Linked DNA regions of Solanum lycopersicum. The protein of the gene in region 1 binds, or shares a complex with, the protein of each later gene. Links are inferred from orthologs where the notes say so. Each region holds a gene or a part of one and is shown on either strand. Other genes may lie near its edges. The genes, in order: nucleolar complex-associated protein 3 and nucleolar complex-associated protein 2.

The links.
Region 2: nucleolar complex-associated protein 3 (region 1) and nucleolar complex-associated protein 2 share a complex: the UniProt entries of both Arabidopsis thaliana proteins name them as parts of the nucleolar complex. The link is inferred for Solanum lycopersicum from reciprocal best matches to the Arabidopsis thaliana genes AT1G79150 and AT2G18220.

The regions. Positions count from the first base shown.
Region 1 is NC_090803.1:61,906,348-61,923,277, forward strand, and holds the start of nucleolar complex-associated protein 3, read right to left. Parts: upstream 9,342-16,930; 5' UTR 9,216-9,341; intron 9,026-9,215; 5' UTR 9,014-9,025; coding exon 8,856-9,013; intron 6,720-8,855; coding exon 6,550-6,719; intron 6,468-6,549; coding exon 6,259-6,467; intron 5,124-6,258; coding exon 4,915-5,123; intron 4,791-4,914; coding exon 4,688-4,790; intron 3,748-4,687; coding exon 3,584-3,747; intron 2,456-3,583; coding exon 2,317-2,455; intron 2,016-2,316; coding exon 1,842-2,015; intron 1,767-1,841; coding exon 1,639-1,766; intron 1,002-1,638; coding exon 678-1,001; intron 457-677; coding exon 317-456; intron 217-316; coding exon 119-216; intron 1-118. Other genes in the region: uncharacterized protein At4g22758, read left to right, coding at 12,887-13,175, 14,016-14,194. UniProt on the Arabidopsis thaliana protein: May be required for synthesis of 60S ribosomal subunits and the transport of pre-ribosomes from the nucleoplasm to the cytoplasm. Also required for initiation of DNA replication.
Region 2 is NC_090801.1:61,732,668-61,749,904, reverse strand, and holds nucleolar complex-associated protein 2, read left to right. Parts: upstream 1-7,412; 5' UTR 7,413-7,549; coding exon 7,550-7,568; intron 7,569-7,664; coding exon 7,665-7,789; intron 7,790-8,356; coding exon 8,357-8,428; intron 8,429-8,510; coding exon 8,511-9,071; intron 9,072-9,553; coding exon 9,554-9,859; intron 9,860-10,195; coding exon 10,196-10,252; intron 10,253-10,564; coding exon 10,565-10,894; intron 10,895-10,989; coding exon 10,990-11,196; intron 11,197-11,448; coding exon 11,449-11,535; intron 11,536-11,801; coding exon 11,802-11,896; intron 11,897-11,982; coding exon 11,983-12,111; intron 12,112-12,270; coding exon 12,271-12,535; 3' UTR 12,536-12,792; downstream 12,793-17,237. Other genes in the region: proteasome subunit alpha type-4, read right to left, coding at 1-457; UDP-glycosyltransferase 43, read right to left, coding at 4,434-5,879; DOT (DOUBLE TOP), read right to left, coding at 13,823-15,190. UniProt on the Arabidopsis thaliana protein: Together with SWA2, probably involved in pre-ribosome export from the nucleus to the cytoplasm.

The DNA.
Region 1 (16,930 bases):
CTGATCCATATTCAAACTTCAAAGATACAAAAGTAAAACCAACTTATGTAAGTAACTAGTCAACACCGATTACACCATGAATGTCATATAATTAATCAAAAAGAAGACTGGTTCATACCGCAATGGCACCAGAAACAGAACCACCTCCAGCATCATTTTCTAATAAGTTCCGGCATTTGACGTTCTTCTGAAGAAGATGCTTCAAAGTCACCAAGGCTGCAATAGTTTGACAAATGAGATCCCTGAATCATAACATATATGATCTTGATTAAAAACAAATAGCAGTCTAGTGATGATTAGCAAAATATGTCGTTACCAGCCAAGGACTCTGCAGGCCCAGAGCATAAAGAGAATGTAGCTAAACGTTTTATAAAAGCTGCAGCCCTCTGCATGTCATGTTGTCGATCATCACAAAGCATTATCTTCAAAGCTTCAGCTAAGATCTCACCTTTATCCCTGCTTACAAAGAAGATGGCTAACCATGTTACTCTAGCCTTAGATGACGTAACCTCAGACTAATAGGATAAATATCCAACTCTGGTACTCAGAGAGGTGGTTGAAATGTACAAATCTTTCCTCCTCCCCAAAAGGCCGATGTGGGAAAAAAATAGGGTGGAAAGTTAAGATTACCAATGCCAAATAATTGAAACATAGTAATTTGATAGATAGAGAACTACCTTCCAGGCCTGTACTCAATTAACAGATTGTAAAGTTGGACAAAAAAATCCTGAAGATCAACATTCAGTGCGTCCAAATTGTTTCTCATCACTCTGAAAGCGACAATGCAACACTGGAGCCTTTCAGATACTGTCAGACATGCTGAAACATCCTTGGAAGAGCCATCAGAACTATTGCCACTTCTGGCAAGCTTTCTCAGATAATTCATGAGATCAGACATGAAATCTAAGTCAATAAGCTGGCAAAATTTCCCGATTCCATTAAGACAAGGAGTAAGAAGTGGATAACTTCCAGCTGGCTGAGATGAGAAACCTGCTTCTGATCTGAGAAACAATTACAGTGAAGTTATTTTCTGAGAAAGAATCAAGCAAAAAACATAGTGGGTTGCTATCAAATCCAAAGAGTTGGGCACTGAATCATCCAAAAAATTATCTGTCTTCTTTAAATTCTTAATGAGAAAATCAATTAAATAAGGAAGGAAATGAAAAGTGGTCTTCATTCTCCTTCCTGTTCGTCTTCCTCAGATATCCTCTTCTGATTTCATAAATTGATCTCAACTGCAAATTTGATTCATATACCTCGTTCTTTTATAGTGATGGCTAGTTAAAGTTTTGCAAAGAGAGAGGAAATGACTGACTGACTTGACAATCATGTGTTCTTTTCTCCTAGGATTTTCCTTTTTCTCTAAAAGCTAGAAAGCTTTCTACAAAGGATCATGTTTTTGTGTGAGATTCTCTACTTCCCTATACATTTGTATGACAGGATTTCTCATAAAATCAAAATACAATTTAACCAAAATAACAATAAACGACAGGTAGCCCGAAAATGGAAGCACAGTATTTTTCTTTCCTCACTGAGAACTAGTTCTATGATGTGGTTCAAGTTCAAACCTAGAGTGTTCATGATAATTGAATCCACTGATTGACATGCTCCACTCAATCATCAGCAAGAAAAACATACCTAGGCTTTATTGCATGCTTTAGGACACGAAAGTATGTCTCAAAGATAGCTGATAATACATCAGTCTGCATCCTTCTCCTTTCAGCAACATCGGTAGCTAATGAAGCAGCCTTCAATTCTGTGGTGACCTGTAAAAACATGAGATGCGCAAATGAACTTACACTTAACAAGTCCAGTCACAGATCATGTTGGCAAAAGAATACCTCTTCTCGTGTCTTTGACATCATCTCTTTCCGTGTTCTCTTTTTCTCGTTGGCAGCTGATTCTTTCTGCTCCTTAAGGTCCTTTCTTTTGGCATTTTTGCTTTTAAATTTATTCTTAGCATCTTGAGCTTCGCGCCTTCCAAGATCATCATCAAATGTCAGAGACATAAACACCTGAGCATGACAAAATCAAATTAGGAGGACAATCATTCTCCCACTGCTAAATCTAGTGTAGACCCTGTACTTGAATAGATGTTGTTGAGAGTATTAATTCATATGTGGACTAGCATTTATCGCCATCTTCTCTGTCAATTATTTGACACTGCCACCACATTTAACATTGGAATATTCACCTTTTTCCCAATACCCAAGATATATGCTTCAAATTCACATCATATTTAAGTTCAATATGTCATCATAAACAATCTTAGAAAAAATATCCTAAAACCAAAGTGTCGGTATTAAAATTGCAGACCTCAATGGAATCAGGATGTAGTTGACAATCAGAAGCTTTAACAAGGTCTGCAATCATTTGAACAGCCTCCACCGTTACCTCACCACCGTGCTTCCCCTCATTGGTGAAAAGTGACTTAACAGTAGCACAGCAAAGTTTCCTGTCAACAAGCAGTAGATAGATAAACTTGAGAGAACATAGTTGATACTTCAAAAACAGCATATCCTGGAGGCACAAGCGTATCATCAAAAAAAAAATTGAATATTCTGTTTCACAATCAGCATGCATCTATGGAGAGAGAGGACTAATCTACAAAACAATGCAACATATCTCAATAACTTTAAAGTGCACGAACTCTACAACAGATTTTCAAGCTTCGCCAATAAAAGCAATTTAGTATATCTTGAAATGACATATTAGCATTCAACTTGGACAAGACAAGAAGCAAAAACAACAACAAATACGGTGTAATCCCACATGTGGTCTGGGGAGTATAGATTGCCACTAAGACTAAGCTCACCTCTTTAAAACGAAAACTTCTTCTTCCACTATCAAAGCTGTTGAAATCAGGTCTTAGGCATAACTCACACCCAAAAGGTCTTAGGATTGCCCAATTCTTCAAGAAGTCCACCCATCTCATTAACCACCGATTTGGGACTTTTGTCATTCTTTAACACCCCATCTCACGCCCAGTGCTTGGCATCTGGTGCGTGGGCAATTTTTGATTTGTGGGGGTCCCAACATCGAGTGAGACGAGCCCTCTCTGATACCATGTTGAAATTAGGTCTTAGGCCTAACTCACACCCCAAAAGCTAGCTCAAAGGGAGGAGGATTGCCCAAGCCTTATAAAGAGTCCATCCACCTCATTAACCACTGATGTGAGACTTTTGTCATTCTTTAACAAAAGATTTTAAAGTTAATATTAGCAAAAAGTTGGCTAGGGATTTAATATAGCAAAATTAAAGGTTCAGCTTCATAATTTAAAGTTAAAGTATAAGTCTCAACTATTCCCTAATATATATGCCTAATCGAATTACATCAACTAAAACAGGAAAATATATTAGACATTATATATTGGATGAATGTAAAGCATTAAAGTAAACAAATATGTTGCATTGATTAACTAACGAGAAGCCCTTTTAAATCCTCAAATAAGCTTGTCTTGCATCCTCTGTAATGCCAAAGCAACCACCAGAAAAGGATCATAATGCAACCCAATTAAGGATTCATGGAGGGCAAAAGATACAAAATGGAAGGAAACGAAAGAGGAGCAGTAGGCATAATTTACCTCGATATGTCATCCTCAGAACTTATGTTTCTTATGACAGCACCTAACAAATTCTCACGGAAATTGAAGTGTGGAACTGCCTCGAGTAATATACAGATGCAGCGAACTGCCACACGTTTGTATACAGCCTGCTTTTCAACAGCTAGCAGTTTCTGTATATACGCCTGTTAATACCCAAATAGGAAAAGGAGTAATGAGCAAAATTATCCGACCCACACACGTACATATATATATTTGAATTATATTTGAATCTGCTATCCGACATATACGAGTAACATTTCTAAGGATGCAAGTTAAGTCTCTAAGACCATTTTGAAATAGGAAAATCACATTCTATTTCAAATTTTCTTCATCTCAGCAACTTACCTTCCTGATACGAGATATATCAAGAAAAATATTTGAGAAAACGTACAGTCATACTGATACATAATAACTTAGATTGTACCCATTTGATTGACCCACTTTCAAAGACAAATTCTTACTTTTACTTCTATTCATTTCATAGAAGTTGCTGCAGTATGTGAACATGCTTAACATAGGAGTCCAGCTAGCCCTTACACTCGTCAAACTTATTGACTCATTCTCAGGTAATGAATTTACTTTAATAATTTGAATTTAATATCCCACAGCTAAGATAATTCATACAATGCCCTGGACAAAAAATAGTTTGTCTGGTGTTTATTCAAACCTAATAACAGGTAGAAATATGTAAAATAGTTGCAATGTAATGAGAATTCAATAAGTCAACCTAAAATCTGGAGGAATACATTAATTATTACAGCAGCCCTAGCACTCTTATCTGCATTAAGTACCTCAAGATGCTACCATGTAACACCAGAAACAAGAACAGCTCAAAGAATATATGTTCCTGTGTTTCATACTTCTTATTCCAAACGAAGTACAATTTCTATGGAGTATGGTCTGAATTCGTATTTTTCCATCCACAAGGCAAAAGGTCAAAAGTCTGTTAACATAGTGCACTAAAAAGGTAGCACAATAATTTTCAAACAAAGAAATGGAACACAACAAAGTGGTAAAGCATGTTACTAACAATATGCACTAGCAGCTATAAAATGAATTCAGATGTCAATCAATTATTACAACCTTATATGCAGATAAGAGGGTAGATTCATAGAACCGCATTTTCTTAACAGCCTTTGATACTTTCATCTCCTGCTCCTTTTCAGTTGGCAGACGGATGCGATACCTGGAGAACAAATTGAAGAGACGTAAGAAGAGTAAATTGTTTACATCGTAAAGTTGACAAAAGAACAAAAAAAACTACAACAAGTAAACTAGAAGCAGCCCATGAACTCTTGCAAACTTCTCACCCGGGGATGATATCTCTGAAAACGGCCAACAAAGACTGAAGGGAAAGTACCGCAATGTCACGATCACCATCTTTAGAAATCTCCAGCATCTCCTTGAGAGATTTGATGTTTGATTCAGGATCAGTAAGCAGTGCAGTTCCCAGCTCAGCTAGTCTAAACTTCTTTTTTTGATTGGCCTCTTCTGCTGTCATATCATTTCTCACTTCGTCCTAACACCAAGGAAGTAAAAATCAATATACTTGTATCCAAATGTAAGTGTCTTTTTTTACCACAGTTAAGGTAATGACAATTTAAATCCTAGAATTTGAAGTAAACATCAGTAATATATACTTCAACAACGCCACTGAATTATAAATAGAATTGCAAAGCTATTTTCCAATTCATCAAATACAGAAGAGAATTATTGGCATTTAGTTTAAATTTTTTGTTTAAGTGATTGAACAAAGAGAGTTGAAGAGAGAAATCAGAAGAAGAAGGAAGTGATTCAGAAGCTGGCTGGGACACCACAGTTATCAAAAAAAGATGTGATTCCCAAGGAGCAGAAAAACAAAGGTAGTAGAAGAGAAGGTGCTACAAGCTCAAGAAGAAGAAGACAGCAGCAAAGAGGACACTAAAGTGTATATAAGAGAAGTCCCAAGTACACTTGATATAAAAAAGCCCTATTTTTCCTGTTCTTTTTTATTATTTGTCTTTTTTTATCCAGTGAAATTCGATTCAGAAAATCAACCGCTTCTTGTAAGTTTACTTTACACCTCACCATCTAAAATTCATAGTTTCTTCCATAAGGCAATAATCTCTTATTTTGCATTGCTACGTTATTTAACGATGGCTGATGGCTTTTAATAACAGTGGTTATTTTGTTGGAGAAGAATATAAAAATTAGCTCACAAAACTTCGTACATACTATATATTGAAAGAGTATTGACAAAAAAAGAGGAAGTGTGTTTGGGACAGCTAAAGACAGGTTTGTCATTCTGATTTTTGGGTCCGAGGGAGTATCATTTTCCAGAATAGTTCGCACAGAAATGCCTAGCTCAAATCACGCTACAACACCTCTTACAAGGATCACCCCAATCCAAGTGGTTTAAGATCTCCTCCTTTACCAAAATTAGGAAAACATGAAGCAACGAAACCAGGTATTAATTCCACTAATTAACAGTATAGTGACAGTGCAACTAGGGGTGCCAGCATTAACTTATGTAGTACCCAACTCTCATCATATATACTCTTTTCAAAAGTTCAAGTGCCTCTTTCACTCTTTGCATTGTAATCTACAATTTAAAATTACTTCAGGATAGATATTCAAGCACTACAGCATATCTTTTGGATATATAATGCACATACCAAGACTTCAGCTTGAGGTATTTGCTCAACATCTTCTACTTCTGTCCCCTCTTTTGCCTGTTTCTTGGCCTCTTTCCTAATTTTCTTCAATTTGGCACGCTTCTCTGCTTTAGTCAGCCTCACCACACTTGCATCAATACCAGCCTCTTTGTTGTTAGTAGTAGCTTCATCTTTATCTTCGTTTTCAGATTTTTGTGTAGCCTTTGGCACTGTATATCATGAAAAGACTCAATTAACGGTTACAGCAGGTAAAATACCGGGTGATGATGACTGAACAAGAGCTTTCAGTACCTGTCCTGTAATAAAGTTTTCCATCTAATGTCTTCACAGGAAGAGCATCCACAGGATCAACCTCTAGTCCCTGTTTTTCTGTTTCTTTATCAAGTGACTTCTTCTTTAATCGCCTTTCATACAGAGACTCTAGCTCATCTTCTTTCACATCGGCAACACGAGTAACATGCCTTTCCAATAACAATAATAAGATCAGTTATAGGACTTTAGAAAGTTAATAGACTTGCATAAGACTGGAATAGGAAATAAGAAACTTAAAGAAACAGATGTTCTAACTAAATCGTACTCTAATGTTGAACATAGCAAAAAATACAACTCAAGCAAATACAAAAGGAAACATCACTCTCACAATTTTTAAGAAACATAGCAACCTGTTGAACAAATAAAAGTTGCAGTGTCAGATAGATTAACCTGAAAAAGGGCCAAACGCCAAGGAAAACGTCAAGAGTGGGAAATGAAAACGACCCCCAATTACAGGGGCACCAGGGTGAACTATTCAATAATCCAGGATACTGTGAGAAGATTACAAGAGCTTAAGAAAATTCCAGGATATGGTGAACTTCTTCGAATTGGTGAATTATGGGCCCATTGACAAGCTACAAAACTAGGATAAGCATTAAACTAATTGAGCTCTGGAGCTTCTGAACAAAGAGTCAAACTGTGGGAGCTAAAGGTAATTTAGCGACCACTTAAAACTAGATTTTCGAAAAGGAAAAAAAAAGTTCACTGTGAACCAAACATTACTGCAGGCCGCAATAGAATCTGGCAGGAAAATATGCTCAGCTGTCAATCTTGTGTCAGTTTGAATAACTCATTCAGACGGGAGAGAATGGATTGATTGCAAATGAGCTATTATGCCTGCCAAAGCTCAAACATGTGTAACGTGGAAGAATTGTTTCCCTGATTAAACCCACTTCTGCGGCCAAAAAATGGATTCCGAAGTAGAAAAGGGAAGCAAATTCTTTGAGATAGACTTGCTTTTCTACCTATTTGATCTTTTCTAACTAAAATCTACTATTTGATCCAGCAATGTTTGTAGCACTTCAATAATTTTAAGTCAAATAACAATCTTAAGTTTGGAAATCCTGATCATGAGAGAGGAGTTTATTGGCCTCCCATTTATTTGGGGGAAATGTAAAATACACAGTTGGATCATCAAGTAAATCTTTTTTAATGATGAGATGATTTTGGCAGAAAGCACCAACATAGTACCCTTCAATGCCAGAAGTTTAACCTTTTACCTATTGTATCTTGGAAAATACTCTCCAACACGTCACTGAATAGAATTTTTCAATAAGAGATGAGCATGAAGGCAAGGATAACACCAATACAGTGGGAAAAGACACTGGCCACTTAGATAAAGCTCTAGCATACTCCATATAGTACATTAATATGTGGAAGTGTCAAATGAAGCACAAGTTATACAATAGATAGGTATCCTACAATTTTTTGAGATAAAGGTAACTCGTATTCATAGAAAACTCAGCACCAAATGCCGAGGGAGAGGATTTACAATTACAAAAAAGGAGTATGGGGGTTCATTTGTACATCTATTTTCTTACACTTTGCCTATGAAAATCTACTAAATCTCCCATTTCCCCCGTTAAAACCTGCTTATACCAAAAATAGATAAGGCTGAAGCTATTCATCATGATCTTCTGAATGGAATTTCTTCTATCTTCAAAATGTCTTAAGTTTCTCTCCCTCCAAACTGTCCACCATATGCAGGCTGGAATACTTTGTACTCAATCCTCCTCTGCCTCCTTTCTTCCAACTCCCTTCCTACATAGAGCTAATTTCCCTCTAGGCATTTAAAATCGTTCTTCCATGATTTTTCTTCTTCTTTAGGAAAATCGATATCTGATCAACCGGTCATATGTTTTTATCAGGTTGATCAACCGATCATAAGAGACGTTAGGCGAAAAACCCGTTTTTCCGAAAATAACTAATATCAAATATAATTTCAAATATAAGTCTCTCCAAATCAATTAAACAGTATATTCCCCTTGGCAAGAGCTGTGTCTTTTCTAGTTTTCGGATATGTAGACTTGTGAGTGAACATTTTTCAAACAAAAGAGACAGATTAATACATTCAAATCATCCAACTTACCAAATCAAAATGAAAATTTTTCGCTATCTATGCATCAATCCACAAAAATAAAGTCAAAAACAACCTAAAAACATGTCGAGAAATGCTCATTTACAAATAAAATTTATTTTAAAAAAAAACAAACATATCTGTATGTGCATTAGCTCCAACAACATAGAGTGAGAATAAACACATATACATGCCAATAATTGCTTACTTATTAATTGACTTCGTATCCAAATTCGACAAGAATCCAGTATATTCTCGATTTTCGCTTACAAAAAGCACGTCTTCATCTGATACTTCGACTGCTTCATCAGGAACTTCCGGTGGAAGATCAGGAGGTAGCACAATCTTTTGCTTTTTCTTCCCCATTACTAATAATCTCTGCAAGAGGTATATTACAAACTGTGAGCTTCTAAAATCAACTAAACATAACCTGAGCTTCACTAAGCAAAAATTTCAACAAAAAAAGAGTTACTTGCTTAAACGAACACGAATATTAGAACACAATCACAAAATCAAAGTAGCACAAGCAAATAATCGGTATAATATGCAGAGAGAAAGATGAACATACACTTTAATTTGATTTTTTTCTCTTGAGAGAGAATGATTATAGTATGGTGTTTTTGCAGAAAGGGAGGGAGGAGGGAAGCGGCTGAGTGTGAGAAAATTAATTTGAGGGCTCAAACTGAATTGGAGCGAAAGTTTGGGTTTGGGTCTACTATTTCTATCGGCCCATCAAAAAAAGAAATATGGGCTTTCACCCAAGTTCAGATGTAAGTGCACAAATAGCCAATGTTGGGTCATTTTGGCTAAGTTTGCAAGTTTTTCCTTTCTTGATAATAAATATCTAAAGATGTACTATTGATTCAATCTGATAGCTTCACGATCGATAGTTCAGTGTTGGGTGTAAACATTTAATATAAAATTTTCGTTCTTTGTTCATGTGATGCCAAGGGAGTGTAAAGAATGAATAGAGAAATTTCAAACTTTGTTTATTGTTTATTGAAAAAAAGGTCTCAAAATTTTGGTCGAAATTGTTGTTACGATACCAAACGTTATAGAGGATCTTTTACCCGCGTGCATTTCTTAAAATTTATCTTAAAGGAATATGTGTGCGCACGTGAACACATTACTATTTAAAATGATGCAATTTTTATGATGTTCACTTGAGCGCATAGATACCTTTAAAATACACTATTAAATAGTGTTGGGTAAAAGACCCTCCATAAAATTCGTCATCGTAACTACAATTTCAATCAAAATCGAATATGTGTCAGATATTTGTGAGCTTAATATATGTCCCTCGATCCTTTTAATTATAAAAGTCTCTTTCGTAAGTTTATGAAATTATACATATGACTGGATTTCAAGCACAAATAATAAATTTTATGAAAGTAATTCAGGAAGTATTTTTTTTTTTAGGAAGTAGGTTGATAACCTAAACAGCATATACTCTCTTTTGATTCTCTTTCTTGTTAAAACTAATTTTATAATATTTTCTTTGATTGGTAGAGATCTTTTTCAAAATGTTATTTTCTTTGTAGGTAACATGTTGTTCTGCAAAATGATCTCATGTACCATAGAGTCATGATCTTTGATCTCCAGATCTTTAAATTACGTTTTAAATTAGTGAAATTAATTAAATAAGTTTGTCTTGTTTACCAATTATTTTAATAGTTCGAGTCCTTTAGTTCACATTGTTTTGATCTCTATAATTGGATTGGATATTTAAATGTATTGGTCAATTACAAACGGAAAGTGTAATACATTAAAGATGTTTTCTTTAAAATTACTAGCAAAAAGACAGAGTGTATAAATTTTTTAATTATGACTATAATATTATGTTTCTTGCTCATATTATTGGTATTGTGGTTATACTTTTTTTCTTCTTCTATAGTTTCCATGATTATATGTTCAAATAACCCATCCAAAGCCTAAAAGAAAAGAATTGCTTTTGCTTCTCATTTAATAAAATTATAAGTAAAAGTACTTCTTAAAGAAAATATAATATCTAGATTACAAGATATGTCCTTTAAAAAATTAGTATATATTACTTAAAAGGTTGGGTCCCTAAAAAGTTTTAATTTTTAAAAATTAAAAGACACAACTTCGATTCTCAAAAGTACTCACTTTATTCTTTTTATTTATTTAATTTTAATTTTTTATTCGTAATTTTTAACATACCAAAAAAATAATATTTTCTCTTATTTATTATAAATACGTAAAACTTTTCTAATGGATAAATTAATTTTAGAATTCTATCAATTAATAAGGGTAAAATAATAAATTTACTGTTAATTAGTATTATTTTCTTAATATTATGTATCTAATAAAAATAAATAAATAAACAGAACAAAAAAAGTTCTACGTAACTTCACATTTCATATTTCAATTTTTCACTATATATAATTTTCAATATCCAGGGCTAATATTCTTTTTACATCATAAAGTATATCTGGCAATATATTTATTTTTGTACATTTGTGGCTTTATGCGAATGAGCCGTATGTGATTAGAACTGTTCAGTGATGCTCATCCCTGTACAATGAGTCGGTGCAGTTTATCCCAGTCTTCTAGAAAGAACCATAAAAATTTTAAAACAAAAAATTTAAGCATCCTAGGGGATGATAATTAATCGGATCATAATGAATTAAGATAAATTTAACTAACTCAGCATATATTTAGAATGTGTTTGGTATGAAGAAAAATATTTTCTAAAAAATATTTTTTAAATTTCTCATGTTTGATTGCGACAAAAGTTTTGAAAAATGTTTTTCAAATTTAACTTATTTTTCTCAAAATTAAGGAAAATAACTTCCCTTAAAAATTAAGAAAAAACAATTTTTTCAAATCTCTCTTTCAATTTCAAATTACATTTTTTTTAGTAAAACATCAATTTTTTAAAAAATAAAAATATTTTCAATTTCAAAATTTTATTTTTTCACCTGATTCCTGACCACCCTCCACTCCAGCCCCCTTTCCCAAAAAAATAATTTTATTTTTAATAATTTTTTCAACTTCAAATTTTTATTTTTAAACTCCTGCCTCCCCGGCCAGCCCCCCTACCCACCCTCTACCAGCCCCCCACCCCAACTCCTCAAAAAATTAATTTTGCTTTTTAAAAATACTATCAACTTCAAAAATTTATTTTTTCACTCCTACCCCCTTCCCTGCCTCCCCCACTACCCCCACCCCCAAAAAAATTGTTTTTAATTTTTTTTTATTTCATAAATTATTTTCTATTCTAATAAAAATAAAAGATGTTCCTCAAAAATATTCATTCATAAATCAAACACTAAAAATCATTTTCGAAAAATATTTTTTACTCACCAACCAAACATGAAAAAATAAATTTAAAATCTATTTATTTTCCACGTTAATATTTTCTAGAAAAACATTTTTTATGAAAAATATTTTCCTTCGTACCAAACACATCCTTAGATCAAAAGAAAGTTGGATCAAAATGAATAACGTAATAAATTATATAATAGATCAAGACTTAATTAAAATTATATTTATTAAATTTCATTATTTTATTTAGTTTTTATAACTATTTATTATCTAATAAAATTATTATTTTTTATTATAATTATATATAGCAATTCAAATTAAAAAGTAAAAAAAGAATTAAATAATTTTTTCTGATAAAATTCTTTTATGAATCAATTGGAACTTCACGGCAATTAATATTCTGTAATCAGTTAGTGTTATAAAAAAGTTTGAGCTAATAAATCAACCACCCAAATTTAAACGAATTAAACGGGTTGAATTTGATTTTATTAATTCTACACCAAGAAGGAAAAGAAAAAGGAAAAGGAAAAAACAATCGCTTTATTTAGCAATAATCAGAAAGAAAGAGAAAATCAGAAACATCTATATATACAGGAAAACAAAAACCCTAACCCTAATTCTATATAAACCACTATTATTCTTCATCGCCAGCCCAAACTCATCATCCATCGTTGTTTTTCTCTCGAAAAAAACTTTGTTTCTTTCATCTTAAGAATTGTTTTCTTTCTTTTTCTTTCGAATTCCATTGTGAATGGTAGAAATCCTCAAGAACTTGTTAATGATCTCCCCTTTAACACCAAAAAGGGGGATCTCTGTTTCATCTGCTTTCTCCTTTGGCTCTTGCAAAGAAGGCTGGTACTTCCGCTGCCTCGGCGTTGACCCTTAAACGCTGTTCGCTTTTCCCACAATTTCTCGAAATCGTGATTTTTTCTTCTTTTTGCTCTGATTTGTATGATTGAAAATAAATTTTGGAAAATTATCAGAAAAAAATTTGAAATTAAAAACAAGATGTTGCTTTACAAGCCAAAGAAGAATCAAACCGGAAAAGGTAACCGGATTTTGATTAGTATTACGGTTCTCGGAAGTGCCGGTCCGATCCGGTTTGTTGTTAATGAAGAGGAGCTTGTGGCTGATGTTATTGATACTGCAATGAAAGCTTATGCTAGGGAAGGCCGCCTTCCTGTTCTTGGTTCTGACTTCAGTAACTTTGTGCTTTATTGCCCCAGTGCTGGCACTGAAGGTAATTCTCACTATATCATCATGTATAGAAATATAATAGATGTTGTGCTTTTACCCTTTTTTTATAAATTATATATATGGGTGATTTGTTTGTGTTGTATCTAGCTTCGTTTGTGTTTTGTTGGTGAGAATTTTTGGTCCGCTCTTTGTTTTTTGCATCAGAAAATTTTAAACTCGTGCTGATTATCTAGTTGATGTATTCTGAATTGTGTTGTATTGAGATTTCTGCTTGTTAGGAAGTAGTTTGTTTTTTCTGTAGCTTTGCTTGCTTTTATAAATTAGCTGGCTTTTGTATAATTTTGCTGATTTGACGATGCTGATTTATTTGTGCAAACTTGATTTGTTAGATCATTAAGTTTGCTCTTTGTTCCTTGCATTTGGTTGCTTTTGTGATTATGTTTAATAACTTGTTCCTGTTATTAGTTTGATTATCAAGTTGCATATGCTCGAGTTTGTTGTTGATATGCTATAGCTGCTTGCTTCAACTTTATGATTAGTTTGTTTAAATCATATGAACAATTTGCATCTGGTACGATTGTACGTGTGTTCGTTTTGTGCTCTAAAATGCTTTTAATGTTCCAACATTGTAAAATTTTGGTGTTTGTTGGAGAAAAGGTCAAACTGTTGAGAGCTGAGGGTATATGGGGAACTCCTTCTGTACCCTCTGATCTGCCTATGCACTTGCCTTCTCAGACCCTGATTTGTGGGATTACGCTGTGTTTGATGTACCGTTGGTGCTCACTCTAAATTAGTAGATGAACTGCTTGTTGTCCCGTGTTATAGAGGCTCTTGTTTTTTGTCCCAATGGAGTATTTTACTTGTGCTTATGTTCACATTGCAGCTCTTGGTCCATGGGAGACTATTGGATCGCTTGGAGTTCGGAACTTCATGCTGTTCAAGAAGTCATCACAGGGCGAGAAAACAGCCGATGGTGGTAAGCAGTCACCAATCCGGAAGGGAGCTGGAAGCTGGAAGACATGGTTTAACAAGTCAATCAGTAGCAAGATAGCATCTCACTGATCAAGTAGACTCGGTCTTTTGAAATCTTTCTTCTATGCGTCTGTCGCAATTCGTGTGTTCACATGCGACCCCTAATAAACAAGTGCAGTATTTGTGTTTTCAATAATGGCAAAGTAAAACCCTTTGTCAGCTTTTGAGTTTTTGAAGTGTGTTCAATGTGTGTTAGTTCTTTGAACTGGGTAAACAGTCTCGTTGGTGTTTCAGTAGTCAAATTACAAGCAGATATTTTCTATGAAAGGAATCCTGTTCTCTTTGCATTTATATTTATATTTTAAGCATGCTCGTTACGGGTAAATGAGTAAGTCATCTCTAGACTCAAAAGCAAATTATATAGGAAATAACAAGTACGTATAGAGTCGAGCTCTTCTCGAGTCAAAAAGGATCTAGAGGTGAGCACGATGCTTGATACCAAAATCACAGTTTAGTTGTACAAGATACGCTTAATGCCATAATCACAGAATTTAGACAAAAACTAAACCTCGGAGATTAGTGTGTAATATTGAAAACAAGGGCGGAGATTAGTGTATAATATTTGACCCAACACAAAAGTATTTTAAACAAGTGCGATAGAAAACTCAACCTAGGAGATTAATATGTGATACTGAAAACAAGGGCGGAGATTAGTGTATAAATATTTGACCCAACACAAACGCATGGGCCATGGCTGTTTAATGGGGTGTCATTTTAAAGGCACAAGAAAGGATATTCTGTTTTTGGTCTTTCTCTCGTGCGGTCTTTACTTGTCAATTGTGAACAGATTAAGAAAGAATAATTTTTTTAATTAATTATTTTGAAAAAAATAAGAATCTTTTAAAAATATTAAGTTTTTGATTCATCAACTTCATAAAGTAACAAGATTCATTATGTAAATCATTGTTTTCTTTTAATAGGTGTAACAATTCAGAAGTGGTCGAGTAAATTAGAGATATGAGTATTTAAAGTACAGAAATATACAACTTAAAATATTATAATTTCTTAAATTTTGATTATAAAAATATTCGAGAGTAATGTATTATTTGCAATGTATTAGCTGAATGAATGTGTCCAAAAAATTCGGGAACTTCTGGGATATAAATATCAAAATTTTCCAAAATTTTATGGGCGGCCATTCATGATTTCCTAACGAGTGGAGAAATAAAAAAAATTATTCGAATATTATAAAAATAAGTTTCTAACGCAAATTTGAGTGTCAAAAATTTTGTCAGACGCAACAAAAATGCAATTTTCACAGTATATAGAGAGTACTTTTTGAGAGGGAAAGTACTTTTTACAATCATAACGTTCACGTGAAACAGAACACTTTCTCAAGCGCGAAAACAGAGAGAAAATGGAGGACATCACAAGTGAAAGAGAAATAGCTGAAGCTCTCAAGCCTAAAGTCGCAATTCAATGTGCTAAATCTGCAATTCTCATCTCATCGCTGAAAAATACTACTCTAGATTATGCGAATCTTAACCAAAACAAGGTATTCAATCACTTTCCGTTTCACTCTGTTTTACATGCGTTTGATTATTATATGATATATAGTTCGGAAATTTTTGTTGTTGAAGTTTTTGATTTTTGATGATTTCAGAATGAGGAGAATTTGAAAGAGGCGGTGGAATTGAAGATGGAGATAGTGAAGGAGAAATTGAAGAACAAGAGGCTCAAACTCTGCAGCGTTACGGAATTATTGGTTCAAGTTATTGCTTTACTCTCCGTTTGGACCCTGCTGCTGTTGCTGGCGTTGAATTGATCCCAGTACTTTCGTTCGATCCAATTTGTTGCTCTATTCAATAGTTCTGTGTTGACTGTTCACATTTTGTTCTTCATTGAAGTAAACTTGTTTGCTAGTGTTATATTCTAGAAGTATCTGATAACCTCTAGATGCTGCAGTACTTGAGAACTCAGATTTGATCGACTTCGATGCATATCTATCAGACCATGGCTTCATGTACCAAATATTTCAATATTGTTGCATCCAGTATTTTCGTTTTGTTCTAACAGTATCATGAAGATGTACTGCAGATTTTTGAAAGTATTGCATGATTTTATGGTTAATTAGGTGGTGTTCTCATTGTGGATAGTAATTGTTTGGAATCTTCTGAGGAAGAACAATGTTCAAATCTTCGTCATCTGTCATGAAAATCATTTCCTTTCGCAGTGGAACATATTTCTGATTTGTTAGACTGCATCGTAGATAATGCAATGCTTCTGTATTTTTATTTTCTAGTGTTATAGGTGTAAATGTTGCAGCAGCAGATTTGCATTGGCTTTACTTTTTCTATTTCCAGTTTGCTCGGGCAAGTAATCTGTGTTTTCTAGAATTTCTCATATTCTATTTATTTCCAATTGAATGCTCGAATAGATTTCGATTCTAGAAAGAGATTCACCAGTAAAAATAGGTGGAGAAACTTTATCTTTTTTAACTTTAAAATAGGTGGAAGTAGCCATTAAAAGACGATCTACATCACACCCCTAGGGTGCAGCCCTTCTCTAGACCCTGCTAATGCGGGATGCTTTGTGCAAGACCTCTCGTTAAAATCTTGTTGCAATCTAATATATTCTTTTCCCTCAAGGATTGGTAAGTTAGTGACCATGGGGTAAAAGATGGTCAATTCTTTTTTCATTTTTGGGATAAGTATTGCTAGTAAAGTTGCAATCCCTTTTTTGGGGGATTTGGAGGGGCATCTAATTCCAACTGCTGTGGATTACAGTAATTGTGTATGTTGGCTTAACTTTTGTGGCCTTATTTTA
Region 2 (17,237 bases), on another chromosome or scaffold:
TTGGGTCGCTCATGTAAAGTTGGAAGCCATAGTTTTTATCCCAACCTGCAAAGAGAAATGAAACACCAAAAGGGCGAAGCCCACCAAACTGTGTGTAACCTTGCTTGGTATCACATAGTGACTGGACAAGTTGCTCAACTGGCATGGGTTCTTGATAAGCGAACGTATAGCGCTGAGCCTGAAACCTGGCTGTGTTGATCAGAATGTTGGCATCAGACATAATTCCAGCTACAGCGCATGCCACATGATCATCGATCTTGTACATCTTCTCACTTGAAGTAGAGGTCTGAAGCAGCTTAGATGTAACTTTCTTTTCACCTACCAACACCACCCCATCCTTGGACAAGATGCCTATAGCACTACCTGCATTTCCAATAGCCTCCATTGCGTACTCAACTTGGTAGAGACGACCTTCTGGGGAGAAGATTGTTGTTCGGCTATCATACCTTCGTGACATTTTTTTCTTTACTGCAGAATACCTGATAAATTAACATAACTTGAGCTAGTTAGATAAAAATTTCAGAGCACATAAAACATGGTTCATTTTTTTACCCTTCCCATGAATAAGTCTAACTAACGAGCATGTTGGCAAACACAACAGAAAGAAAGATACAAAACTGAGTCGAAACAATATATAAGTCCACACAAGAGTTGAAGTTGAAAATTGTCAACCTCAGGGACTTCCCACCTGTATGGATAAACTTGTGGACATTTGAAGTGTGTGTACAGTGATACTGGTAAGAAGAGATTTCATAGATGAGCTTGCACTAAGCAAATGCATGAATAAAGAAGGTGCAACTCCTCGATTGTATCTAACATTGCATCTACATCATGTACAAGAACCAGGTTTCACCAAAAAGCTAGCAAATAAATACGTTTGTGTTCAAGGCTAAGTATATTTCTTCTTTTCCCTTGAAAATTCTGCTATTTCTTTCAAGCCAACTGTCCACCAAATGGCCTGAGAAATAGTATTCCAAGTTTTTTGGAATTTCTTTTTGAGACCCTCGTTGTTTCAACTATGCAGCAGATAAGTCAGGAGTTTGGCATAGTCCAATACATGCCAAGTAGTGCAAAATACATACCCAAGATGAAGTTGGAGCTGACACTTCATGATGTCATTTAATGAAATTCCTTATCTCATAAAAAAATGTTTCAGAGTGCTAACTGCTAACCCTTCCCTGTACTTCTCAAAACAAACTAACAGGGGCAGTTTAGCATTCCAAAATTAAGGCCCATATGGCATGTGAATGAATTACATTTAGAGAGAAGAAATTTTAACTGAAAAAAACTTGAATATGCAGTTAGCTAAATAAGGAGCAGCAACAAGGATTGCCAGAAGATAACAAGTATAAAAATCATTAGTTAGATCAGAGTTTTCTTTTCTATTTTTCTTCTAACTTGAGGTCAGTGTCAGCTAATCTATATTTATCTGCTATAGATTAAGAAAATAACAAGTCTGTTCTTTCCGTTTTATTTTGGTAGGCATCAAACTGTACAATTTCTTAGTGGTACCAACCAAAGCAGCTTGTTTACCACTTTCACTTCATTAACGATGGGAACTCAAGACAGAATGGGCAGCTAAAAGAGATAATGACAGATTAAACAATGATTATTAGGAGGATTATTTTCATCAAGTCCAGCACCTTTTGAGATCCAACAAGGCAAGGAACCTTCTGAAAATACTGTCCAGTTTGTCGAAAAGGGAATCATTAGCAAGGCCATTGTGGGCAACAAGATCACAATGCAAGTTGCAGATGGAAGAGATTATACAAGTCACGGCAATGAGCCAAAAGGAATTACGACTGGGGACATAACAGAATTTATGGTGCAACTTCTTAGGATTTGAATCAAAAAGAAAAAAGCACTAGCATTATTGCGTATTAAGTTCCACAGGAAATGTGAAAAACTTGGAGGGAGAATTGTTTGTGGGGAAGAGCTCTACTTTGAGTGATTGCAGACTCATGAATTTGGTAGGTTCTGGTAGAATTTTACTAGTAGCAAAAGCAAAGAAGACAAATCACTTTGTCATAACTCTTACTTGAAACACTAAGATGTGGCTTGCCCACTAGAGTAATATAAATACAATTGCCAGACTGGAGGCTAGTACCACCAGTGTCAACTTCAGTTCTTGCAATTGAAACCAAAAGATTTTAAGAGTAGCTCAATTGTATACTAATTGGATGCAGGATACAGTCTGCACTTGGTACAAAGACGGAGATAACTTCTCAAGAAATCAAATCAGGAGCAATGTGATCCAAGGTTAAATATTATCCTAGATTTCAATTAAGAAAACATCAAATGTTTACCAGAGATTGGTTATATGTTGCTCCAAGATAAAAAAAATTTTGTAAAAGGTGAACAGGGGATTATAAAAAGGACCAATTGTAAGAAGGGATTTAAGGCAGCTAAGGTAAACTATTAGCTGTCAGGATCAGAAATCTTATATTAGGTTTCTGTAGATTAAGGCTAAAGTTTGGTACATTTACACTTTCACTCCTTATATTCCAATAAAAATCTAAGAGCATTGTTCAAAAAGGAGAGATAAAGAAAGGAACTATAAAATCGAGAGTTAACAACGCCGAGTGGGTATAGTATTAAAACTCAGTAAACACTGCAGCAATCTTACAACTTAGACTAAACATGCCTTTAACTGCTAAGGAACTATTGTTTACTACAAGGGGAAGAATCTATGTAGACAAACACTAACTAGATCTATCTCCTTTTTAACACTTGAATCTTCAACCGAGGTCGGTACAGTTATTCAATACAGTATACATGAATTCCACACTCAAAGCCATCCTAGAGAAGACCTCACTGGACATTCCAAATGAAGAAATTTTTATAAATTGGTCCAGTCATTCAAAACCCTCCTATAACACTGTGTGGTGCTGTAATTTATCTTTCAAATATACACCAAAAACACCATGGCATAACTACCTAAATCAGGTCATACGACAGGACGGGTTGCTCACATGGCAATCACCCTCCAACCCCCAACCCTAAGGTTGGGGTTCGAGTCACCAATGGAGCTAAAAGGTGCGAGAGCTCCTGGGCAGGGGTTAAAACCCTAGTCATATTCTGCAACTTATACTTCATAAACACCAGATACCCACCCAACTTCCCTAACTAGTGACACCCATAAGCTAAATTGTCTCCATTGCACGTCTTAATGAAATTTGTCTCTCTTTTTTTTCTAATTAAAACAATTCTTTACAACCAGAGCTGCTATAGAAATGAACTTATCGCGCCACCGGTAAAATATTTGTCGTCAATTATCATTTACTTGCAAGAGATCAATTAAACTCCTTCTCATGTAAACCCTCTTCCTACTTTCACAAAAAAAACCCAAAATTTTCCATACATTTTCTTGAAAATATAACCCAAGAAGTTCAACTAATTTACTTATCAATAGAATAACACAAACCCATCACTGAGTTCAACAAAAAGAACATTACAAAAATCAAGAAAAATACCAAGAAATTGGGAAAAGGGAGAGGGTTTATATCGATCAACGCATCAGTAATAGGAAAAAAAAATCGCCATTTGAAGATATAGAAAGATACCTGAGATGTGAGATCTAAAGAGAAGCGCAATGAAAAGAGTCGAGAGGTTTTCTCTTCTTTATGTAGACGAAGAGTGAAGCTAGTCTTATTGCGCAAGTTTTTTATACGGGTCGGGTCGGGTGTCCGCTGAGGCCTAAAGTAGGAATTGCGTCTGGTAGCCAGTTTTCAACCTACTATTTAAGTGATATTCAGTTTTTTTCAAAATATATTTAAAATATAGCCAGTACTGTCAAGGTTGAAATTAGATTAATTTGAGTTGAAATTTTATCTCTATTCAAACTTTTACGAAGGTCACAAAAGAATCAGTTTGAAGTAGTTTGATTTAAAACGAGGGTATTACATAATTTCAAGAATTTGAGTTTAGGGAAGTTGTCATATACCATATTTCAAATTTCATCTTCGAGAATTGTTAGCCTTAAAGCCGTTAATATAACTTGTTAAAACAAAAAATGATTATATAATAAGACAATCAAAATATAAGTTATATTTCTTAGAAATACGTCAATACATTTCTTGAAGATGATTGGAGTTTTCTTATGTTATGAAAGAATAAATAATAACTCTATTTTTGCGATTCAGCTAAATTATAAAACAAACGACATTAAAGTACGTTGTTCTTTACTAATTTCAATTGAGATTCATCATTTATTACAAAAAGAAAATCCATATCTACTCACGCTCTTTTAGAAAATAAAAGTTTTATTAATGTACTTCATCATCGTAACTTTAATTATTATTATTTTTGAATCCAAATTACATAATTAGGTAGAATTACATAAACTAAAAAACTTTATTTTCATCGCTTTATAAAATTCAACTAAATTTTGTAGTCAAACAAAGCCCACCAAGTTTGGACTAGCCAACCCTTCTTCAAATCACAGCCATTAATTCATCAATCAAGTGTCCAAGAAAATTAGAAGATGAGCCATTTTCCTTCCAAACATCCTTGCATTTCTCACTCATTTTCTTGAACTTTTGTCTCACCTCACCATCACCATCACCATCCATTAATTTTTTAACCCCTTTTGCCACTTCCTCTGATGAAACCAATGTGGTGCCATCTCTATAATCCATTGTGATTTCCACAGCCAAATCCAACTCTTTCACCAACTCAAATGCATTCAAGTGTTGCTCTGCATATATTGGCCATGTACCAATTGGCACTCCGTAATATAAACTTTCGAGAATCGAATTCCAACCACAGTGTGACACAAATCCTCCGATAGCCTTATGGGCCAAGATTGTAACTTGTGGGACCAACCCACACACTAGCCCTCTCCCTTTTGTTGATTCTAAAAACCCATTAGGTAAAATTTCCTCTAAGTTTGTATAATCATTTGGAAGTTCTCTTTTATCCTTCGGTGCTTCTCTAATTGCCCACAAAAAAGGGTGTCCTGCTTTCTCCAAACCTTTTGCTATTTCCATCACTTGTGAATCTTTAAGACTTCCCATACTTCCAAAACTCAAGAAAATTACTGATGATGGTTCTTGATTATCAAGCCATTTCATAACATTTTCATGACCCCAAGAATCTTGATGCCACTGAGCTGGTCCATTATGATCCACTACAGGTCCAATTGGATAAATTGGTGGTACAACATGACTAGTTGTAGTATGTACTAATGAGTTTAAGCAATATGGTTCAAGTTCTTGAAACGTGTTGACAATAATACCCTTTGTTTCTTTGTACCTTTTTGCATGATGTAGGAACCAAGAATAACCATCTATATGTCTTTTTAGCATGAATGAAGGGAAACATTTGATAGGGACAGGATTGGAAAAACCAAGAATGTTGAAATCATTGGCTGAATCTTTGTACTCAATATTAGTACTAACTTGAGCATCTAATATTGGGAGATGCAACATGAAGCTCAAGAAAGTAGCAGGGGAAGCAAAGTAGAGATAACATGGGATGTTTAGTTCCTTAGCTACATCAATAAAAGATGTACAAAACATGTCAATAAAGAATCCAACAACTTGCCCCGAGTCCGAGTCTGAAATAAGGTCAATAAGTGCATTTTTGACTTGTAACGTGTGATTTTGTATTAATAGCGATAAAAAGCCTATAGTTGCGTCGAATTGATCGAGCGATGGTGGATCCGCCACGGGGAGGGAGAGGAAATGGATGTTTCCGGTGGCGGCGGTGGTGAGAGAGTCAATATAGGATTGGACAAGTGGTCTTTGAGGGATGTTAATTAAGAGTATGGTGGCTGAAATATTTTTGTTTTTTTGAGTGAAGACTTTAGCAAACTCAATAATTGGAACAATGTTGCCAAGTGCTGGTGTTGAAATGAACACTACCTTTCCTCTTTTCATGGTTGCTTTAGGATTTGGCTTGAATTCATTGGAGATAAGGTGGTCACTATATATAAATTATCAAGTACTAGTACTGTTTTCTATAAGTCTTCTTTTTTTATTGGTGGATCTTTACTATTCTAATTAAAAATTTGGCTCATTTATGTTATTATTGTTAAAAAAAATGTTCATTCATACCATTATTTTTAACGGTGCTTTTGCAAGTCATTTTGACACATGGTCAATTCTAATTCGGATACGTCATCAATTTTTTTAATTAAAAAAATCATAATTCTGAAAAAAAAATTGAATTATTTTTTTTTATGTTTTTGGCCACGTCATCAATTTTTTAAATAAAAAAAATCAAATTTTTGAATAAAAAATGAATTTTTTTAATTAAAAAAATTGATGATGCCAAATCACGTGTTAAAATGGTTTTGCAAAATCACCGTTAAAAATAATGGCGTGAATGAGCTTTTTCTTTAACTGTAATGACATAAATGAGCCAAACTTTTAACTGATGATATAAAAGAGCCTTTTCTAAAAGTTTAATGGCATATTTAAGTCTTTTCCCAAAAAAAAAAAGAGAAAAACTTTCATATATAACCCCTTAAAAATAATAATATGCATGTGAGTTCATTAGGTAGGTCATTTAATAATTATAATTATAATAATAGGCATGTGAGTTCACTAGGTAGGTCATTCCATAAATTTATCTTTTTCAATTGGGTAGTAGGTGGTAGTAGATAACAAAGTGCCAAAGCCTTTCTTCTGGTCAGAAAAAATAAAAGGTTTCTGTCTGTTAACCCAACAAATTTTACATTCAAATTATGATAAGTTCCGAACTCATGAACATGATAAAGTATTATTGAAATATTAAAGTTTTTATGTCTATTGAAGAATAGTTAAATTAATCAGCATAAATATGTTATTATTTTTACAAGTATACACATCAATCATAATTGGAACAAGTCTAAAATTTTACGATTGAATTCACTAAAAATGTTGTTTAATGGATTATCTATCATTTTAGGTATAATTCTTTTCAATTTCTTTTAGGTATATTATAAATAATGAATCAAACAATATTTATCTAATTATGAAAATACAATTAACTATTATTGTACTTACTACGAGGATATATTCAACCACTGTTACAACTTCTAAATTTTCATTTATACAAATATTTTCCTACTCTCTACCAACAAAAAGGAAAAAAAATAAATACAAAACAATGGGATTAGTTCATAAGATCTCCATTAGTCGCTGATTTTAGAAATAACTGTTTATTGAATATATTTTTTTTTCATCTTATAATTTATGAATCTTTATTTTCACGATCCAAAATTTTCTTTTTTAACAAATTAAAAATCCTATGAAAAAATGCCATAACAATCTAACTTATTGTTAGATGAAAGTCTTGTTAACTTCAAAGTCATATTTTTGCACAACTTTTAAAATTTTGGACAAAATTTAAATGATGTCCCAAAAAAGGGACCTTTGTGTAAAATGTAAATCAACCATTGGGCTCTATATTTTTTGACCCAAAATATCAGTACTCCGATAAGCCCAACTTCAACGTCTTCTACTGTTCAGCTTTGTCAATGGAGCTAAAATCTTCGGAACACTAAACCCTGGAGCAAATTATAGGGTTTTAGCGAGAGAAGGAAGAAACTCACAAATTTCAATCAATGGGGATGAAGAACAAAGGTGTCTTTTTTTACTCTTTTCTTTCAACGCACTTTCATGTTTTACATCCTATTTCATGCTATTTTTTTCTTCTTTTTTGTTGCTTGGAAATGTCAGAATCGAAGAAATTGAGCAAAAAATCTTCTGGGGTTGAAGAAAAGACAGATGAAATGATGCCCAAATCATCTTCAGAGCAAAATGTGGGAGGACATGCGGAGCAATTGAAAAGACTCCAAGAAAAGGTGAGATTTTTGTTGATATGTCTATGAGTTCTTTGCTTTCTTTCTGTGCTTTCAATTCTGTGTTTAGTACTTTATTTATGAATAGTTTTACTTTTCATATAAGTTTTGAAAAAACTCGAGGAATACTAAAACATGAGCAGCCAAACTTTTTGATGTGCCAGAAGCAGCAAACCAAGTTGCTTAAAGAACCAATTTCGTCTGTCGGTTATTGATTCATTATTTTATCAGATAAAATAAAATTTCATTTAGAATCAGTACCGAGATGGTACTTTGTGGAGTATACGATAGTAGAGTATTAGAATCCCAACACCATTTCCTTCCGATGCCAATATAATGATTCAATGATGTAGCTGGATAGGTTTCCTTACAGAGTTCAAGGTCATTCATCTATAACTCATTCCTATATTTAGCCTGTTTGCATCATTGAACAATGTAATTACATCTGCTATTCATTTTGATATAGTCAGTGCAAGAGTAGTGTGGTGCAAAATATTCATTCCATAATGTTTTGTACTGATTACTGTTAAATCTATTTAACCAGCATATGCCACATTTTTTTTCCTGTAGGATCCCGAGTTCTATCAATTCTTGCAAGAGCATGACAAGGATCTCCTAGATTTTGATGATGAGGATACTGATGTAAGTCTTTACAATATCTTCCCTTCTCATTGTTCTCATGGTATGTGAAATGTTTGTAGAATCTTATTCCAATTTTGTGAAGGATGATGACGAGACTGAAATGGATGGTGAGGAAATCGAAGATGATGAAGCTGATGAATTTGACACTGAACAACTTGTTCATGCAGATGGAAAGGAGGTCAAGTCATCCACAAATCTCATCACTACTGCAATGGTGGATGCTTGGTGTAGTTCAATTCATGAAAACAGGAGTTCGGGGGCTATTAGGTCTCTCATGAGAGCTTTCCGCACAGCTTGTCATTATGGCGATGATACTGGTGAAGATGCTAAGTCAAAGTGGAGTACTATGTCTAGCACTGTGTTCAACAAGATAATGTTATTTGTTCTAAAAGAAATGGATGGAATTCTTCGTGGCCTTTTGAAATTACCAACTTCTGGTGGGAAGAAGGAGATGATAAAGGATATGTCTAAAACTAAACGATGGAAGAGCAACAACCACTTGGTCAAATCATATCTTGGGAATGCGCTACATGTTCTAAATCAGATGACAGATACAGAAATGATATCATTTACATTACGAAGACTCAGATTTTCATCTGTATTTTTGGCTGCTTTTCCAGTTCTTTTGAGGAAATATATAAAGGTATGGGATTGACTGATCTAATACTTACTATTCACATAACTCTTTTCTTGTACAAAGAATGATTAATCTAGAATGACAGTTTTCTTCTGCTAGAATATAACTTTATTTGCAAGAGATTTGCATGTTTCATCCATTCCCCCTCTCCTTTGGGCAGTGGTGAGTTGGTTAGGCAATTTGCTGTTTTGAGGCTTCAGCTATAATCAAAAGCTAATTATCTTCAATTTGTCATTGGGGTCTTTTAAGTGTTTGGCCTTTGATCACTTCAAACTATGCACACTGCTTATTTCCTACTATCACAAACTAAGTAAATTCATTGAATTATGATCCATAAGAATTAAGTTTAAAAATATTCGCGAAGCACTCTCGGTTTAGACTTCTCTGTTTTTCAGAATACACGTGTCACATGGGTCTTTTGTTCTCTGCATGAGGTATTCTTCACACTGTCTAAAAGAATCAAGCTTAAGCATAATTTGACTTTTCAGGTTCTTCTTCATTTCTGGGGTACAGGCGGAGGTGCACTACCAGTTGTCTCTTTTTTGTTTCTAAGGGATCTGTGTATACAGCTTGGCTCTGATTGCATTGATGAGTGCATTAGAGGGATGTATAAAGCTTATTTATTGAACTGCCAATTCATGAATGCGTCAAAGCTGCAGCATATTCAATTTCTTGGTAATTGTTTCGTTGAACTCCTTAGGGTGGATCTTCCCAATGCGTACCAGCATGCCTTTGTTTTCATTCGGCAGTTGGCAATGATTTTACGGGATGCGCATAGTAGTACTAAGACCAAGGTTTGTTATTTTGTTTCTGATAACTTGTCTTCTTTCTGACTATTTGTTACCAACCATTGATATAAGCTTATTCTATAAATCTTTTAGGAGTAAAACTTAAAAAGGTATCTTGTGTAGCACTTTTTTTTTTAAATAACTTTAGATTAAGAATACTTGGCTTAATAGTTCCAACATACATGTTAGCTTAATTCATATTTTCACGTTTGAAAAGATGTTCAAAGAGTATCAAGTGGCTTCAGCATTTTACATTACTGGTAGCATCTTATCCTACTGAAAGTTATCCTTGCCTTTTAGTGGCCGCTAATTATTGTTATCCCTTTGTCTAATCTTTCCTAGAAATCGTCTAAAAAGGCTAACCAATCATCCAAGGAAGCACACAATACCAAGGGCAAGGTACTTTGACTCTTAACTTGTCACCTTTTTATTTGTTTTGGATTATGGTTACCAAAATGTGATCTTTTTAACTTTCCCTCTTTTAGTCAACTAAGTTCTGGTAGAATATTCTGCTTTGAAGAGTTGAGAAAATGCATTTTAGCCTTCATTTGTAATTTTCAAGAGACAAAGTAGCTTAGAGTGTCAAGTTGATCATGAAATTACAGTCTGTTATGTTGCTTCAGTATTATGCACATGTTGTATATCTTTTCGTAGTTATATTTGCCTTTTAGGGGATCCAATCACAGTTTCTTTGTTTTCAATCCTTCTCAGGAATCATTTCTGAAGGTTTACCAGTGGAAGTATATACACTGTCTTGAGCTTTGGACTGCAGCTATCTGTGCATACAGTTCAGAACCTGAGTTTAGGCCCCTGGCTTATCCGCTGACGCAAATAATTTCTGGAGCAGCTCGTTTGGTTCCAACTGCTCGCTATTTTCCCCTTAGATTGCGATGCATCAAAATGCTCAACAGAATTGCTGCATCCACCAATTCTTTTGTTCCTGTTTCCCCACTCCTCTTAGACATGTTGGAAATAAAAGAATTGCGTAGGCCTCCAACAGGGGGAGTTGGAAAAGCCATAGATTTCCGTACTGTTTTAAGGGTACTTCTAGAATGCCTCTCTACTTACTTTAGTTTAATAGTGTACTGCTTTACAAGAACTTGTCTAGCTGTCTGAATCTATATTTGATGTATCAGGTTAGCAAGCTTACTTTGAAAACGAGAGCATTCCAGGAAGCATGTGTGTTTTCTGTGGTTGAGGAACTTGCTGAGCATCTTGCTCAATGGAGCTATTCAGTTGGTTTCTTTGAGCTCTCTTCTGTCCCTGTTGTTAGGTTACGCAACTTCTGCAAGTCCACCAATGTTGATAGATTCCGTCGCGAAATAAAGCAAATTATTCGCGAGGTATGTTTGTTGGGTACTTGATTCTATTTGCTGATATGAGTGGATTATTTTCTCAAGTCACATGTCTGCACTAATAACTTTGCATAGTTTTCTGAGTTCAAAAGATCTTCTGCAGTATCGATTCTGGGATATCTAACTTTGCATAGTTGCATTTAGATTCTATTATGGGCTATTTGTTAGCTGGCACCAATTGTTTCTTCTGAAATGAAGCCTTTGTTATAAGTTCCTGAAGTTGACTTGGTAAATCTACAGATTGAAGCCAATTCGGAGTACACAAATAAGAAGCGCATGACAGTTTCATTTCTGCCTAATGACCCAGCGGCAGCATCTTTTCTTGAGGTTTGAACATCTTGATGTTTATCTTTCTCATTACCAGTAAAATTTCATTCAATCACCTTTCATTTTTCAACCAACCTATACCTGGTATCTTCTCTTGTTAGTAATGAACACATTGAAAGCTTTGTCCACTTATCAAAGCATCCTTCTGACGAACACGAATAGGTTGGGGTGTTATAGAGATTTGTGTGTCTAGGATTAATCCACGGGATCATTTTTTCATGATTTGGCTCCCTTGAAACAATTCTGACCTTCATGTTTATCCTTAGGATGATAAGAATGCAGGGGTGAGTCCTCTATCAAAATATGTTGCTAGTCTCCGACAGAGAGCACAACAGAGAAATGATTCATTAAAGGAATCCAGGTTTCACAACACTCTATTTTTCTTAAGATTTTTATCTGGAGACATCTTTCTGTTAATCATAAAGTAATGAACTTGTCTATCTGCAGTATACTCGTTGGCCAAGATTCATCTGCCTTCGGGAGTAAGATAACTGAAAGCGATGAAGATGATGATGTTGAAGATAGCAAAGGAGATGCTGTCTTCAGTTCTTCTTGGCTACCAGCAGGCACTCCTAAGTACGTTCACATTCTTCTTCACCACTTACCTATTCCCACCACCTATAACTCTCTCCTCGAGAGGAAAAGAACCCTTGAGACCTGACAGGAAGGGATCAACAAGCTATCTTTATTTTGTTGGTGTATATGAATGTATTTGTCTGGTATAATGTTTTGCAGGGATGAGGAGTCTACAGAGGAGAAACAACAGAAAAAGAAGAGAAGGAAGGATCAGCAAGATGAAACTGCGTTTGACGAAGACATTGTAGAGGATTTTATTCTCAGTTCTGATGATGAGGAGGGTTCCTTGAGTGACGCCCCCTCTGATGAAGAAGCCAGCATAAAACAAAAGCCATCTAAAGCGCCTTCAAAGAAGAAAGGGAAAACTCATCGGAGGAAGAACAAGAAAAGGAAGCAATCCAATCAAGCAGCATCTTCTGTCTGATGATTCTTGTACAAGGAACAAGAACAGTGTAGCATAAGCCAGTTTGTCCAGTGTAAGCTCTAAGCAAAATATATTATACTGTACTAGTTAGCTATCAATTTTGTTTTCCTTTATCCTAAAAAAATTTTCGTGCCATGTAGGGCAGACTACGTATAACAATTCATACATAACTAATCGCAACTAGTTGGGAATGGAGATGTAATTCATTGATCGATCTATTTCTTTTTGGCACTTATAGAGGTCGTTCTTTTGATGTACCCCTTTGATCACAACTCGAGTTATGTTCACTCTCAATGTTGGAGTGTGTACTTGCTACACGAGATTTAGTTTGAGTGTCTGTTTATGTATAATGCCTTTTGTTTAGCTTACAACTTGAGTTACGTTACAAGTTACCATTTATCAACAGAAAATTTTAAATTTCAGAATAAGAAACCTTCGAAAAACTTGTTTTGTTCACAAATTCATTTGTTTTTGTGAAATGCAAAAGTAATTAATAAAGTTTTTTTTTTCAATACATATATAACAATACTATACCTAGTGGAAGTTTATAAGAAGGGTTTTAGAATGGTAGAAATTATGTAGAATTTAACATTAACATCCAATAATTGCATGTAGTTGATTTTGTTCTCACTCTTAAAAATTATGAGATGAACAAGTTTTACTTTTTCTTTTTTCATACTTTTCACTTATTTCAAGAGAAAAACCAACTAATCAACCAGAAGCTAATTTTCATTTATAACTTTGAAATTAACTTTCTTATAGCAAATGAGGTTATTATATTCCACGTGGCAAAAAAATGACTTAGAATCAAATCAAAACGAGGGATCCTAACAATTTTAGCTTGTATAATAAACTAATTATATATCGATTATCCATCGTAAACTTTGGTTAAAATTTACAAAAAAAAGTTAGAAAATTAGATTTGTAAGATGGTTGTGTACTGTAAATATGTCGAATACTCTATGATATGCTAATAAAATCATCGGTAAAATTGACAACATAACGATATTCTTGTTGTTTTAATGATTAGGGTTTTCTACTTTGGTATTTTCAAAAGGAAGTAAAAAAAGATACCTAACTAAACTATATATAAGCACAAATCAATGTAAAACTCATATTAATAAGTCAACCAACAATAGTAGAGTACAAACTTTCTTCTTACTAAAGACTTGGTAATATAAAAACACTAGATAATTAAACACTAAAAATACAATTAATTAAGGTCCAAATGAAACACTATTCATAGTACTAGTACTACTGATACCCCACTTGTAAACAGTTTAACTATCAGTTGAATGACTGAAAGGGCAATGTCAACTGATCAAGAAGTGCACCAATAGGTGCAGCAAGTCTAGGGTCATAACCAAATCCATGCAACTCTCCCCCTCCAACTCCAAATTCTCCACAATAATTATTACTACTACCAACACCACCATAGTCTAAATTATTTCCCAAAAATGGACAAGGAGGTATCCAAATCCATCTCTTCTTACAGAAATCAAACAACAATGCCTTATCTGAATTATTCTTAATCATTATCACCACATATTCACCATGTCCAACACAACTAAACCCTTGTCCATTCTCCACTTCAGCAAACTGCACATACAATTGTTGTGGCATTCTTTCTATTTCCAACCACATTGTACCACAATCTTGCAATGCCCAAAGCCTCAAACTTCTTGGCACATTCAGTTTACTCTTTTCAACTGCTGCAACTAAAACAACCTTACCATTCCCTTCAACAAGGCTCGGTGAACGTAGGAATCGTCGCATCGGGGCTTGAATCTTGCACCAGTTATTAGTCCCTATATCATAAGAAAGCACACTAAAAGGACTAAAATTCATGCAATAAAATCTCCCCTGTACATGCACCATTTTGCCTGATTCAAAACTGCATAATCTTGGAAGTGTAGAAGTTGTACCCCATATTGAGTAAAATCCATTACCATCAATATGAAATGACTCTGTAGTTAAGTTTTTAACAGCATAAGGTGATATCAAGTCATCTCCAGCTACAGCTATATCAATAGATGTGTTGGTTATAGTTAAACCAATAGAAGGAAAAAGCCTAGGCCTTAAAGTTGGAGGCAGGGGAATTATGGATCCTACAAGTGGATTACATAAAAGAATGTTTTTTGATCCAGATTCATCAGAAACAAAGCAAATTAATCCACCAGAAGATGAAACAGGAGAAAACCCTTGTGGGATTAAAGCAAAAGAAAGCCTATACCAACAAAGATTATCAGGATCAAACAAGTAACCTTCAACAGAACAAACTCCTGAGTTACTACTATTCATCACGTTCTTGTAAATGTTGTTTCTTGGTACTTTTTGTTTAAAGAAAATGAACCAGTTCCTCTTAGGTGAAACTTGCAAGTACAATTCAAGAAAATGTGTAGAGTAAATAAGTCCATAGAATCTCTTACACACAACTCTAGCTCTAAAGAAAGCAGGTGGTGGTAGAAAAGCAATGATTCTATCAATAAGCCTATGTGGAAGTCTACTCCAAATTCTACTATCCATCCAAGTGTTGATGATCATTCCATTAACTGATGATGAATTTGGAGTTCCAAGAAAATTGGTTGTTGGTGTTGGGATAGGAAAAGCATAGGGAAAGTGAAAGCTAATAGGGGGATGATGAAAAGCTTCCATTTTTAGAGTATAATTGGAGATAATACTAAAAGGGATTTTGAGTTTGAAGCTAGGAGAGTTGTAAAAAGGAAAGTTAAGGTTATTTTTACTCTTTTATGTTTCTCAAATTCAGTGGACATGTGAGTTAAGGAGGTGGAGTTTTTCACTAATGAGGAAAGAGATATGAATGTTTGGCAGAAAACTAGAAGGGAAAGTCTCTTTTTTGGCTTCTCTGTTTGTCTTTTGGATTCTTGGTTTGTTTTAGGAGTTTATATAGGAATTTTGGCAGCATTTGTTTCTTCATATATTTTTTGGTTGGTGGAGTGATGGATACATGTATCATTTCAGTGTTTTCTTGTCAAGGCCGAGGAAGGAAGGACAATCTACAGACTGTAGTTCAACAGACAACACACACACAAATAAAGAGACAAGTTATTATGATTGATTAACTATGGAGTTCTAGGTTTGCTTTTAGTGAGTAGAGTGTATAAGAATACGATTTATTAGTAAGGTTAGCTATTTTCTTTATTCATTTCACTCGTTATGGTTTCATTTGACATGCCTATTGAGAAAAAAATTATGTTTAATACTCATCCGCTATTGACCTTTGTATATTTCTTTAGAAACTATATTAAAAAATGTAATTTTCTTATATCACCTCTTGAATATAATAAATACTTTGTGTTGATATAATGGGAAAATGACTAAAATAGTAAATGATAAGGGTAAAATTAAGTAGTAAGTGTAAAATTATCTATTGATTTCATAAAGTGGATAAATATTGTTATAGTTGTTTAGAGGGAGTATTAGGGTTTGGAAAATGATTTGGAGAATAAGTATTTAACGTTAAAGATAAAACATAAAAAAAAATAATTATTTTTTATTAATATGTCAAAAGTAATAACTAAAAATATTTTAAAAATAAATAACATGTCAAAAGAAACGAGGAATTATTTCTTATCCTCCGTTTGGTTTGGTATATTAAGGGTAGTTATCCCATGTATTAATAGCCCATATATGGATATTGGATAATATCATGGTTTGTTATGCATTTATTTATACACCCTGCTAAATAAAAGATTTAAGTAATACCAGGACTAATATAAGTGTTAGATTTTCCAATATATTCTATCAAATGACGCTAAAAGAATGTCAAAAACTAAATCCAAAAGGTTAATTTTTTGAAAAATATCGATTAAAAATCAACCTTAAATTGAAGTTTGATGAAATCATGATCAGTTAAAACTTACCATAATTAATTTTTTTTTTTTTAAATTTACCAACTTTCAAAAGTTAGTATTTTCAAATAATTTTGGGAGGCTGCATAGAGGAAAACTGTTTCTATTTATTTGTGAATTTATCTTCCTTATTAAGGAATTTTATTTTCTTCTCTAGACGAGTAAAAAGTAAAGGTAAAATATTTATTTTTTATACAATGAACAAATAAAAGCGAACAAAACGAAAGATTAGGTATGACTCACGACGAAGATATTAAATATTTTGAGGTAGATACCAATAAAAGAAGAAAAGCTAAACTACAAGAAGAGCTGCTACTTAAGTTATAGTCTTTGACCGTGACCTTTGCTAAATAAGTACTTAATTTATTTATTTTTACTTGTGCTAAGTTTGAACTTTACTTGGTATTTTTTCTTAACAAATGACAATTGCTACGAGTGTTTTTTACGATATCAATATTAATTGATTTTTAATCTGAAGAAGGCGATTTACATATAGAATAAAATAAATACACATAAAATATAAAAATTTAACGAAGAAAGTTCTCCATACTATAAAACAAAACACAACAAAATATATTTTTATTATAATGGGCAAGTAAAATTTAACGAAGAAAGTTCTCCATGCTATAAAATAAAATATACAAAAAGCTTTACAAGATTATCACTTTGGAGTAGAGAAAACAAAATTTAAAGAATTATTATTATTATTATCCTTAATACATGAATTGTTTCCACCAATCTTAGAAAAGAAATGCTAATTTCCTATTAATAATAAGAAAATGTATTAATTTTATTTATTTCATTAATCAACATCGTCAAAATAGAAGAAA